2 linked regions of the Arabidopsis thaliana genome follow. The protein of the gene in region 2 interacts with the protein of the main gene of each other region in a pairwise test. Each region holds a gene or a part of one and is shown on either strand. Other genes may lie near its edges.

Evidence for each region. Proteins that work in one complex are often made in the same cells at the same time.
Region 1: the proteins of OASB (region 2) and HL interact in a two-hybrid assay, tested with the Arabidopsis thaliana proteins (one large-scale study listed by BioGRID).

What each region holds. Positions count from the first base shown.
Region 1 is NC_003076.8:22,084,002-22,089,090, reverse strand, and holds HL (HAL2-like protein), read right to left. Parts: upstream 3,094-5,089; 5' UTR 2,959-3,093; coding exon 2,805-2,958; intron 2,541-2,804; coding exon 1,877-2,540; intron 1,809-1,876; coding exon 1,505-1,808; 3' UTR 1,451-1,504; intron 1,351-1,450; 3' UTR 997-1,350; downstream 1-996. UniProt on the Arabidopsis thaliana protein: Phosphatase that converts adenosine 3'-phosphate 5'-phosphosulfate (PAPS) to adenosine 5'-phosphosulfate (APS) and 3'-phosphoadenosine 5'-phosphate (3'-PAP) to AMP. May regulate the flux of sulfur in the sulfur-activation pathway by converting PAPS to APS.
Region 2 is NC_003071.7:18,128,570-18,134,682, forward strand, and holds OASB (O-acetylserine (thiol) lyase B), read right to left. Parts: upstream 4,070-6,113; 5' UTR 3,754-4,069; coding exon 3,511-3,753; intron 3,325-3,510; coding exon 3,215-3,324; intron 3,128-3,214; coding exon 3,070-3,127; intron 2,967-3,069; coding exon 2,703-2,966; intron 2,433-2,702; coding exon 2,295-2,432; intron 2,163-2,294; coding exon 2,111-2,162; intron 2,026-2,110; coding exon 1,946-2,025; intron 1,839-1,945; coding exon 1,779-1,838; intron 1,651-1,778; coding exon 1,570-1,650; intron 1,273-1,569; exon of another isoform or gene 1,128-1,272; coding exon 1,035-1,127; 3' UTR 866-1,034; downstream 1-865. Other genes in the region: AT2G43745 (jacalin lectin-like protein), read right to left, coding at 290-322, 409-786; AT2G43760 (molybdopterin biosynthesis MoaE family protein), read left to right, coding at 4,707-5,303; AT2G43770 (Transducin/WD40 repeat-like superfamily protein), read right to left, coding at 5,703-6,113. UniProt on the Arabidopsis thaliana protein: Acts as a major cysteine synthase.

The DNA.
Region 1 (5,089 bases), on a different chromosome or scaffold from region 2:
ATGTGCAATTATATATTATCATGATTTCTCGTCGGTAAGCAAATTACATGTTTACTGTCAACATAACCAATCATATATGTAGTTTTAGAATTTAGAGATACACCATGTATAGTTGTTTTTTTTACAAACGTTAATATGATGCGCCTACTCAGTTTAATATTTTGGATATGTTTACTTCAACTAGATAATAGAATTTGGCAGACAAATGTTCATATGAAAGTTTTACTATTTTTGTTGACCAAAAAAAAAGAGAGAAAAGGTTTAAGTATTTTAATTTTTTAACATTATAGGTACTGTATATGAGACTCTTTTTTTGACATAGGTAAACTGTATTGATTATGACTTATGAGACTATCCTTGTCATTTGCTTCTTTGTGATATTTTCTTACCAATTGTTACTTTACCTAATCTTTTATCACATTTTATGTAGCTATGTATTAATAATATTCAACAAAATACAAGTATACGAAATAAATATAAAAAAAAAAAAAAAAAATTGAAAAATTGAATTCATAAGAAAGAGATGTTTATCAACTAACCATTCATGCATCATTACTGACACTTTGGCCGTCCTCTATTAGTAGTAGAATTTAATTATTACTAGTAATTATGTACGTATAAAGATGAAGACACATAATTGTGACTGATAATGATAAATTCTTCAATAAATGTATGGAAAAGCCTATTTGAAGGTTGGAATTCGATAAAATTGAAGAGGGAAATCTTTTAAATAGCACCAAATCTAAGAAATTGTCGGCAGAATCAAACTTTTTACTTTTAATCTTTAGACTAACACAAAACTAACTAAGCTATTCTCATTAGGGTGCCAAACATGTCGGCTAAACCGGAGTTCAAGGCATTTTAATTCGGTCTGATTTAATAATATTTTCGTATCAATAAAAATCTATTGAGTCCTCTTTAAAATGGTCATCGAGTCGGCCCAATAAACAAAATTTATTAGCCCAAAACTGGACCAATATTATCGGCAATTTCTAGTTGAATCTTTAAATTTGAGAGACAATTTGGGTCGTTAACCATTGAAATAGCATGGAGTAAGTTAGAGCCTATTCAGTAATTTACTAATTTTTGTCTTTTGTCAGGAAAACGACATGTATAATCCGCGTTTTGAAGGTGAATTATTACAGGACGAAGATTAAAAATGATATCATCCATTAAAGATCATAGAACATAAGGGTTCGTGAAATGCAGCAGCTTTATTACTCTTAGATAGGTAAATAAACTAGATTCTTACTTTTACCGCTGCTTCCTCGACTATATTTACTTCTCCGCCATTCACATTCATTGAAACTGGCCCTTGCTCATCCTAAACCGTAATGGCCCTTGTTCCTCCTAAACCGGAACAAATAAACCGATTAAAAACCACTAGCTTATGCAGTAATCTACAAATATGATTACAATCTTGAAGAGGACAATTTGTTATCTTCTTTACCTTTGCTTTGGCTCGATGATGCTGCACCAAACTACGGATTGTGGATAAGCTTTTTCAGAGACTGGAAGATTCCCAACTAGCATAAACAGCACCTATAATCTTCTCATGTAAAACTTGACCAGAACATGCGATGATTCCACGGTCAAGACCTTCCAAGTAAACACCTTTCGAGAAGTCTAAGTTTCTCCCTCCCGCATCAGTCACCACACCACCAGCTTCTTCCACAATAACAACTCCAGCTGCGTGATCCCATATCTTCTCTTTGTAACTTGACTGTGCAAACTTCATAAACACTTCAGCGTCTCCACGTGCAATCGCTGCATATTTCACCATGCTATACACTCGCATAGGCTGCTTTCTGCAGAGCAAAAAACTTTTGGTCAATAACGTAACATTTGAATAAGAGAGTGAATAAACAACATTTACCTAACTCCCATGCTATTGGCAAGTCCTGCAGTGAACAAGTGGTTTGAGTTTGCTCTCTCTACTGGCTCACAAACTGTAGCTAAAACCGGATCATCAACTGAAGAAACCTTAAGAAGTGTTGCAGATTCTGGTATTCCTCCAACGATCAAAGGTTGCATCCAAGCTTGACCACTACCTCTCTTTGCATACATAACACATCCTTTCGATACTGAACCAGCAACAGCTTTCGTCTTCATAGCTTGGTTACAACCATTACTTAAACATTCTTTCTTAACCGGATAATTAGGACATCCTAGTACACCCAAAAGAACTTTACCATTCTCTATCAAAGCTAAAGCAACAGCATACTGATCCCCACGAACAAACCCTAACGTTCCATCAACAGGATCAAGAACCCAATGCCTTCCTTTAGGTCCTCCAACAGAGTTACATCTACTAATAGCCTTAAGAATTTCACTAGACCCCAATGGCTTAACTGGCTTCGGAAGCCCGTAGTTCTGAGCTTCGGACAATGCTTCATTAACCGCATTCGACACAGCTCCTAAAAGACCTAAAGAATCAGCCTCAGAGAGTGTCTCAGTGTCTTCTTCAGCAACAATTGAAAGGTTTTGATCACCAAACACTTCAGCTAAAACCCAGCTCACAATTGCTTGTACACCAAAATCTGTCAAGTGAATCAACAAAAGTTTAAAACTTTGATACACTATTGAACTACTAATACAGAGAATCATTGGAAGTGATGAAAAGTTGCAAACTTTTGTATTTTAATACACATTTTGTTTCATCTATCAACGAATTAAAGAACATGATTATTCGATTACACAATCCAACATCAAAAATTCGTTTTTTTTTTATTTAACACAAACAGATCTCAAAATTACAATTAGAAAAAAACAGAACACAAAACAGAGAAACAGAGAAATCGAACCAGCGACGGTGACAGGGGAATCATCGTCTTTAGACTTAACGTGACCACCGTTAGGAAGATGAAGCTTCTCTTGAACTTTAACACAGAGAGAAGAAGCGAGGTGGACAACACGCACCGCCGTGTCAATCTCCGTTTCTAAGGAGTCCACCGCCATCGCCGGCGAAATCTATCGGAGGAGAAAGGAAGAGGAAGAGAAAGAGATATCAAAAAGCTTCACGCTTTTTATTCACATGCTCTCTCTCCACTGCTTCTTCTCCTCTCCTTTTTTTTTCTTTCTTTCTTTTAATACAAAATCATAATTATTATTTTAATTTTACTTTTTATGCTCTTTTTGGTGGCTCTGTCACATTTTCTTAAAGTGGTTATAGTTAAATTATTTATTCCCTGGATTAAAAAATAAAATAAAATAAAACAACAACACACTTTTCTCCTTAATAACAACTTTTTGTGAAAATTAATAATAAATAAATATATAAAAGTTAATAACAACGTTGATTTTCAAAAGTATTTCAAACTAGAAAAATAATTATTTTCTTTGTTGTAGTATAACAACGTTAATGTTTTTGTAAGAATACATTTTCTTTTTCTCCTTCCTAATTTTTTTTTTCTTTTGCAACGTTATGCTAATTTGTGTATTAAGAAATGTGATTCACTACTTGATATCATACAAAATTAAGGTATCAATTTCGACGCTTTTCTAATAAAACGATATTGGAAGATAATATTTTTGGTATGTTATTGTTAGTGAGTATTTTCTTGAAGCAACCAAAAATTGAAAACTAAATAATTCTTTTTAATACAATAAAAACAATATTCACGTTTGACAAATAGAAAAAGAAAATGAATAATCGTATATACTTTACGACAAAATCGTAACGTGTGGATGGTGAGTGGGTTTTGTACTTTGTAGACTTGTAGTTAGGTGAATTAGGGAACACGTGCGGAAGAAGAAAAAAAAGGTCGAAACAAAAAGTTGTCTTTATAAAAATTCTCGCATTCTCGTTTTTCAGCTAATAAAAAAATTACTCATACTTTTAATTTTCGTATTCTTCTGATATTTTCTCTACAAATCTATATGATTTAAGTTATAGCAATTTGGGGAAAAACTAAACGCATAGACGGTTTCTTTTTTTTTCTATTCACTTTGGTATAATAATCTTAGGGGAATAAATGAAATTATATAGATGAAGAGGTCAAATGAATATAGACCGTAAAGAAGGGACTATGCATGGTGGTCGTGCATGTGGACAGAAAGCTCCTGTGTTTGCTGTATAACTAATTAATTGAATATAATCTATTTAATTAATATAGCATTAGGATTAAATTATGTTAATAGGCTGTGAATAATAAACAATAGTACAAACTTGTTAAACCGTCCAAGACTCCAAGTAAGTGAGCCCAATATGATAATATATTTAGTTGGGCTATAGGAAAATTTATATAGCCTTTGAAGCCTATATGAAATCCCATTAATGCTTCAGATCTTAGGAAAATTAACAAGATGTTTAAGAAAATTAGTTTACACATTGAATGATGGAAACTCTCCAGAACTGTTGCTTTTTTTTTTTTTTTTTTTTTTCATATAGGCCCGATCCATAATAGGTGCTGACCATTGTATGTTTTCAACACGGATGATGAGAGACTGAGCCATATGTGCTACAACTTATGCGTATAGCAGTCTCCTAAGTCCCAAAATCTCCCTCAAACTCTATCCATGAATCATGATAAGCCACTGAAATCAGTTGTGGACTTACGCTGGTTAATAACATAGAGGCATATTAAAACCTCTTATCAGGAGCTGGATGAGACTGTTTTTATTCTAAAGCAAAGTAAAGAAAAAACTTAAATTGTGTAACCAAGCTCTCAAATGATTCTTAATTTGATTTCATATAAGGTATTGGAGGAGAATGTTTTTTGAGGCAACTTTACATGTTAACATCATTGTTCATCTATGTATTTCTTACTAAAAATCTTAATTATATGGATTAATTGACTTCTAATGAGATATCATTTTGGACTTCTTAGGATCCTTTGATACTTGGTAAGTTAGTATCTATGTAGACAATTATTAGTAGAGAAATGCAAACTAACAACACGAATTGATTAAGATAATTCCAAGTTGTTCGTTGATTACATCTAATTCAGTAAGGAAGTTAATCAAGTTGATTTTGGATCTGATGATATGTGATAGATAATACAAGAAGAAATGGTTGGGACCTAAAAAGAAAAGATGATTATAGTCAAAGAAAAGAGTCGTTAGACATATAAATTTCTTCATTTTTTTG
Region 2 (6,113 bases):
CAACTTGAACTAGGCTACAAGGCTTTCTTGGTCAACTGTTTTCGCGTTTAACAACCATGTCGAGACTTGTAATGGGTCTCAAATACATACCAATCGATGTCAGATGGTATAAATTGTTAGACCCAAAGAAACCACCAAACTCACGTTCATCACATATTGCCGGATCAATATCTATCTTCCAATGATTTGGATAATTGTCGCTTGAACGTCCAATCATATACTCCCCGACGTTAGTGCGAAATGTCAAATTTCTGATCCCTCCACCATGCTTTCTTAGTACTCCACTTAATCAAGTTACATATTCGTCTTGATTCAGTCTCAACTGCGTTTAAACTTCATCAAAAACAAAACTTGACCGGATCTTACGCAAACGCAAAAATAAATAATTGTTATTGACACAAAACTTACAACACGAAAGTTGGAGCCCTCCTCAATGCCACCATGCTGTTTAGACAGGACTAGAGCTCCATTCTCCAAAAAACCAAACTGAATAGACATTATGACTTCGTCGAAAGCAACATATATGTGAGAGATCTTGCGTCCCTCGTAATCCCAACTATCGTCACCCATCACCTCTTCTCCAACACCGTCGTCCCAATAAGTATACTCACATGTCGATTTTTTTCCCACTGATCCTGCTCTTATCATCGCTATATAAGAAGCAGGCACAGAGTACAATAGTTTTAAGTGGAAGGAGAGATATAGATAGGCGAAAGGACGATTATATAGGAGACTGTCTTGTCCAAAACTCGAAGAGTCGTCATAACTTTCATTTATGGATTCCATTGGGAGAAAGCTAAACAAGTTTCCAGGTACATTAAACAAAACGCTCGAAAATTGTGCTCAAGAAGAAGACTCTTCGTTTGACCAAAACCTCTTATGCCTTTATTAATAACAAACACCAAATTGCGTTGCGAATTGTAAATATACACAGTAGACGTAGAGATTTCTGCAGAAACGTCTATTAGAAGAAAAACAATCAGCAATAAATCAAAGAAGAGGTTCCTTGTTGGTCACGAAATTACAGAAGAAAATCAAAGCTCGGGCTGCATTTGCTCGCACTCTTCTCGAATCGACTGGAAAAGCTGGGTCGAGAGGTAACGTTCCCCGAAGCTCGGGAACACAACCTGAAAACCAAGATTCAGCAACTCACATATCAAACTATACATATGATGAATCTGTTATATTTTTTACTCCATACTAAGCTAAAATCCTTTCACTGATTCCCTACGTTGGGCTATAGTAATTGAATAATAAGCTCCTCTCTTGTTCTTTGCAATGACTAGGGTTTGGTGTGGCAGAGAGATTAAGCTCCTCTCTTGTTCTTTGCAATGACTAGGGTTTGGTGTGGCAGAGAGATTAAGGCAACGTAAACGTTCATTAGACGTATAAACCAAACCAACTACTCAAATACAAATGTTAAAATAAGTAGTAAGACTCTAAAAGGACCAAGGTTCATGATTAGATAACTTAAGAACTCTTTTTCTATATCATTCAGTGGTTGGTCACAGATACAAGACTAGGTTTTGGTCCATAAAGAAATTATGATGAAGAACATTGAGGACTTACGGCTATGAGTTTCCCGGCATTTTCAGGTCTCTTTGCAACCTGGATTGCAGCAGCAGCAGCAGCTCCAGAAGATATACCAACCTGAAAAGGTTATAGTCGTTTACTAATCGTCATAGATTTCTCATATGCATTTACATTCGTTTTCTATCTTTTATAAAGAGTGTTCCCACTAACAAATAAGTCAAACAGAATAACAAATATAGACTAACCAACAAGCCTTCCTGGAGAGCTAGTTGCTTCGAGGTTTCAATAGCTTCCTCACTGGAAATCTGATAAGAAGCAACAAAACAGGTGAAGTTAAAAAGGAAAATTGTTGCTTGCTGAAAGTGAAAAAGATGAATGTATAGTTATAGAGAACCAAACCAACAGATCATACCGCTATGTATTCATCTACAATAGCCAGATCCAAATTCTTGGGTACAAATCCAGCTCCAATTCCTTGAATCTTGTGAGGTCCTGCATTTCAAATACATGTCAAATAAACGCAAGATAAAAAGAATAACGTGCCAGAGAAACAAGAAAAACAAAATCACTGCCTTACCGGGTTTTCCACCAGAAAGTATAGCACTTTCCGTGGGTTCGACACCAATAACCTGGTACAAGTAAACATCAACTAATTAAATATAACTACAAGTACAAGTAAACATCAACTAAATCTAATTACGGAGGTTATAACATCTACAGTTGATTCCAGCTGATATGCTACAAGCCCTCTTGCTATGTACCTTCAATTCAGGTTTTCTTTCTTTAATGAATCGACCAACACCAGTGATAGTTCCACCAGTTCCAATCCCCGCAACCAATATATCGATTTTGCCTCTTGTATCTTCCCAAATCTCAGGACCAGTCGTCTCATAATGAATCTGCATTTAATCTTATATCAAAACACTAACAAATACTTGCAGCTTTTACCAATGGAACCAGTGAATCCCAGATATAATCGTGATGATTCAAAACTGTATACCATAGAAACTCTACAACAATCCAAAAGGAAGTGCGGAAGAATTTCACTATCATCTCTAATGAACCCTTTCACACACCACCTCTTACTACTGTACAAGGCCAGAAGTAATCGTAGCTCATAATTCATGTCACAGTTAGAGAGTATGATGAAACAAGAAGTAATTACAGACCTTGGGATTGGCAGGGTTGTCAAACTGTTGGAGCATGTAGGAATTGGGAGTTTTTTTCAAGATTTCTTCAGCCTTCTGAATTGCTCCAGTCATACCTTTTGCAGGTTCAGTTAACACAAGCTCAGCTCCAAATGCCCTCAAAAGAACCCGCCTTTCCAAACTCATGGACGCAGGCATCGTCAAGATAAGTTTATAGCCTTTTGAAGCAGCAATGAATGCAAGGCCAATCCCTGTGTTCCCACTCGTAGATTCCACAAGAACACTCTAAAACATTTGCAGCAAGAAAACAAAATCAGAGGGCTTGACAGTTGACACTCAATACAGAATCATTCAACAACAATAAAAGGTCAAATCCATAATCAAATACCTTTCCAGGTGTTATAAGTCCTTTCTCTTCAGCATCAGTAATCATACTGTACCCAATCCTGAAATCACCACAACAACACAAGCTCAGAATGTATAAATGTGAAAGATAGCAAAACCAAAATCAAATTATATTTGGATACACAAACCTATCCTTGACACTGCAACATGGTTCCATGATCTCAAGCTTAGCAGCAACACTTGCAACACAGCCCTTGACTACATTGTTCAAGTACACCATCGGAGTTTTCCCAATAAGCTGAATCAATTCATAACATTCAGAAAGAATATAAAAAAATTAGAAACGAAATCAAAATTCAAAGAAGTCAAATTTACAAGACTAATAATACTCAGTTAGTTTATATCTTCCCCTAAATTGACAAAATTGATCACCAATTTAGATTTCCTCTGTCTCTATCCAAATGCAAACGAAACACAATCTAACCTGAGCGGCGTTATCGGCGATATTGAGCCCTTCAACACCAGCTTCTGGCTTGATAGATACAGCCTTGCACACAACATCACTCCGGCTCTGTCTCTTGAGCGTGAAAGCAGCTGAGGAAACATCGAAAGCAGCAGCCTTTCGAGAGGATAAGGAGAGAGAAGAGAGCTCTGGCGAGTATTTGAAAGGACGGTGGCGAGAAGTCAACGGATTAAGGAGAAAAGCAGAGGAAGATGTCGCCGCCATGACTTGCTCTTTTGCTTCAGTGTATCTTCCTCACTTTCCGAATATTGTACACAGAGAGAAGTAGAGAGAGACTAGAGATGCGGTTTAAACTTGAAGACACTGACTGATTAGATGATCGCACTGTAGCTGCAAAACGACGTCGCTGTTTAATTTCTAAATAAAAAAATCATTTTGGCATCTTCTTTCTACAAGATTTATCCTTTTTCCTTGAATGGTAAAACAGAGTATCTGGAGAAAAGAAGAGACTTTGAAATTGAATTAGTAAAGTTTTGTTTTTTACAATCTCACCAACCTACTAGTCTGATCCAACAAGAAGGTGAATATAGAGCACATGTTCTTCTTCATCATGCAGCCCTACCAAACTCTCAAAGGTCAGATAAAATCTTTCTGGATCTCTTTTTGTTCTTTGCCTTCTTTTAATTTCTGGGTAGCTGTTAAAGTTATTACAAACTTTTAGTGTAGTAAGGTACTGAAAGAGACGATTCTTCTTTGTCGTTATCTCTGTCTTTCTATGATTCTATCCATTCGATCCTCAATCTTACAAAAACTCGAACTTTGGTCAGTTTTGTAGACGAGTTTTGTGCCTTTGCTGTTTTTGTCTGATTCAATAAAAATTGACCGATTTGGCAAATTCTTAATCCGATTTGAGACATCGTTTTTTGAGTTTGTTCATTGGTCCACTATTCTCCTACTTTGTTGATTTGACTCTTCCATTTCTGGATTAGTAAGATGTGATTGCCATTAGATTGCGCAAGAAAGGTTCCTCATTTGCTCTGTTTGCCTTTGACTAAACAAATTGTCTGTTTGATTAGTTTTGGATGATAGGTGATGAGATAGTCATGGTTGTTTATTTCCTCCAATTGCAGGTTAGAATTTGCTATCGGATCATCTGCTAAGCTTGGTTTACTCTTCCTAGAACATCGATTGTATCGAGGTTTACTATTGGATCAAAGATGTCTGCAGAGGAGAAGAACCTTATAGAGATCTTGGAGGAAGGTCACAAAGTCGATGTTGTTAAGTACATTGATTATGTCAGTGCCCCTCAAGCTGGTGCTATTGCGACATTCTCAGGCACTACAAGAGACATGTTCGAGGGCAAGACAGTGTTGGAGTTAAGGTATGAAGCATATGTGCCAATGGCCACACGATGCCTCAGCTCGATCTGTACAACTGCTAGATCAACTTGGGATATCCACAAGATTGCTGTTGCTCACCGTCTTGGACCAGTTCCTGTTGGAGAAACTAGCGTGCTCATTGCGGTCTCATCTGTTCACCGTGCAGATGGTTTAGATGCTTGCAAGTTCTTGATCGACGAGTTGAAGGCATCGGTTCCGATATGGAAGAAAGAGGTTTACACTAATGGAGAGATTTGGAAGGAGAATTCTGAGTTTATGGAGAAAAGATTGGAGCTTGCAGAGAAAAGAGACAGCATTGTAAAAAAAACTGTGGTTGAAGAACATAGAAGAAGAGGTTGCTGTGGAAGCAAAGTTAGAGTAGAAGAAGATGAAGAGCATAAAGATATTACAGGAGATAACAAATCTTCTTCTTGATCACTTGTAGCAGTAACACTGTTTCGCTTTTTACTTTCAATAGACAAACTTTCTTAAGCACATTGTTGAATCTAAAGACTTATATGCGTTAGTTGGTTACTGGACTGGGCTTATACTTGCTACTGCTTGAATCTGTAAGAATCTAATCGAAGATACTGCAAGATTGTAATACCAAAGATAACAATTTTAAGGAGAACTAAAATGATGACCTCATCTGTTAAAGTAGAAGAAGATAAAGAGCGTAATGAAGATATTACAGGAGATAACAAATCTTGATTACTTGTACCAAAGAGCAATGTTTCGTTTTTTCTTTCAATAAACAAAATGTCTCAAAGCACATCGTCGATTCTAAAGACTTCAATTCCACTTAGAGTTGCAAAGGTTTCACAGCTTTGAAATTCAGATCTCTCCCAAGTAGATATTTTTATCACTACTGCAAGATCCAATGATAGGCTCGGTTGGGTGGAAAACACACTCATTGACAGAACCGGTATGGCCTGGGAGCTTATATATAGTGCGCCGACTGGTTGTGTCCCAGATATGAACCATACGGTCTGAGCTACCGGCAGTAACTTTTGTACCATCAGGTGACCATGAACATTTCAGCAGGTTCTTCTCAAAGTTGTGTTGATGCCCCTCAAAGATCTTTACACATCGGTTTTGTGGAGCATAAGGACGCATGTCCCACACACAGAGCTTGTTGTCCATTCCATTAGTGAGAAGGTAGGAACCGTCTGGGCTTAAGCTCATACCTGTGATTGTATCTTGATGGCCCTCAAGTGTCATGGTGGCTTCACCTTTTCTCAAGTC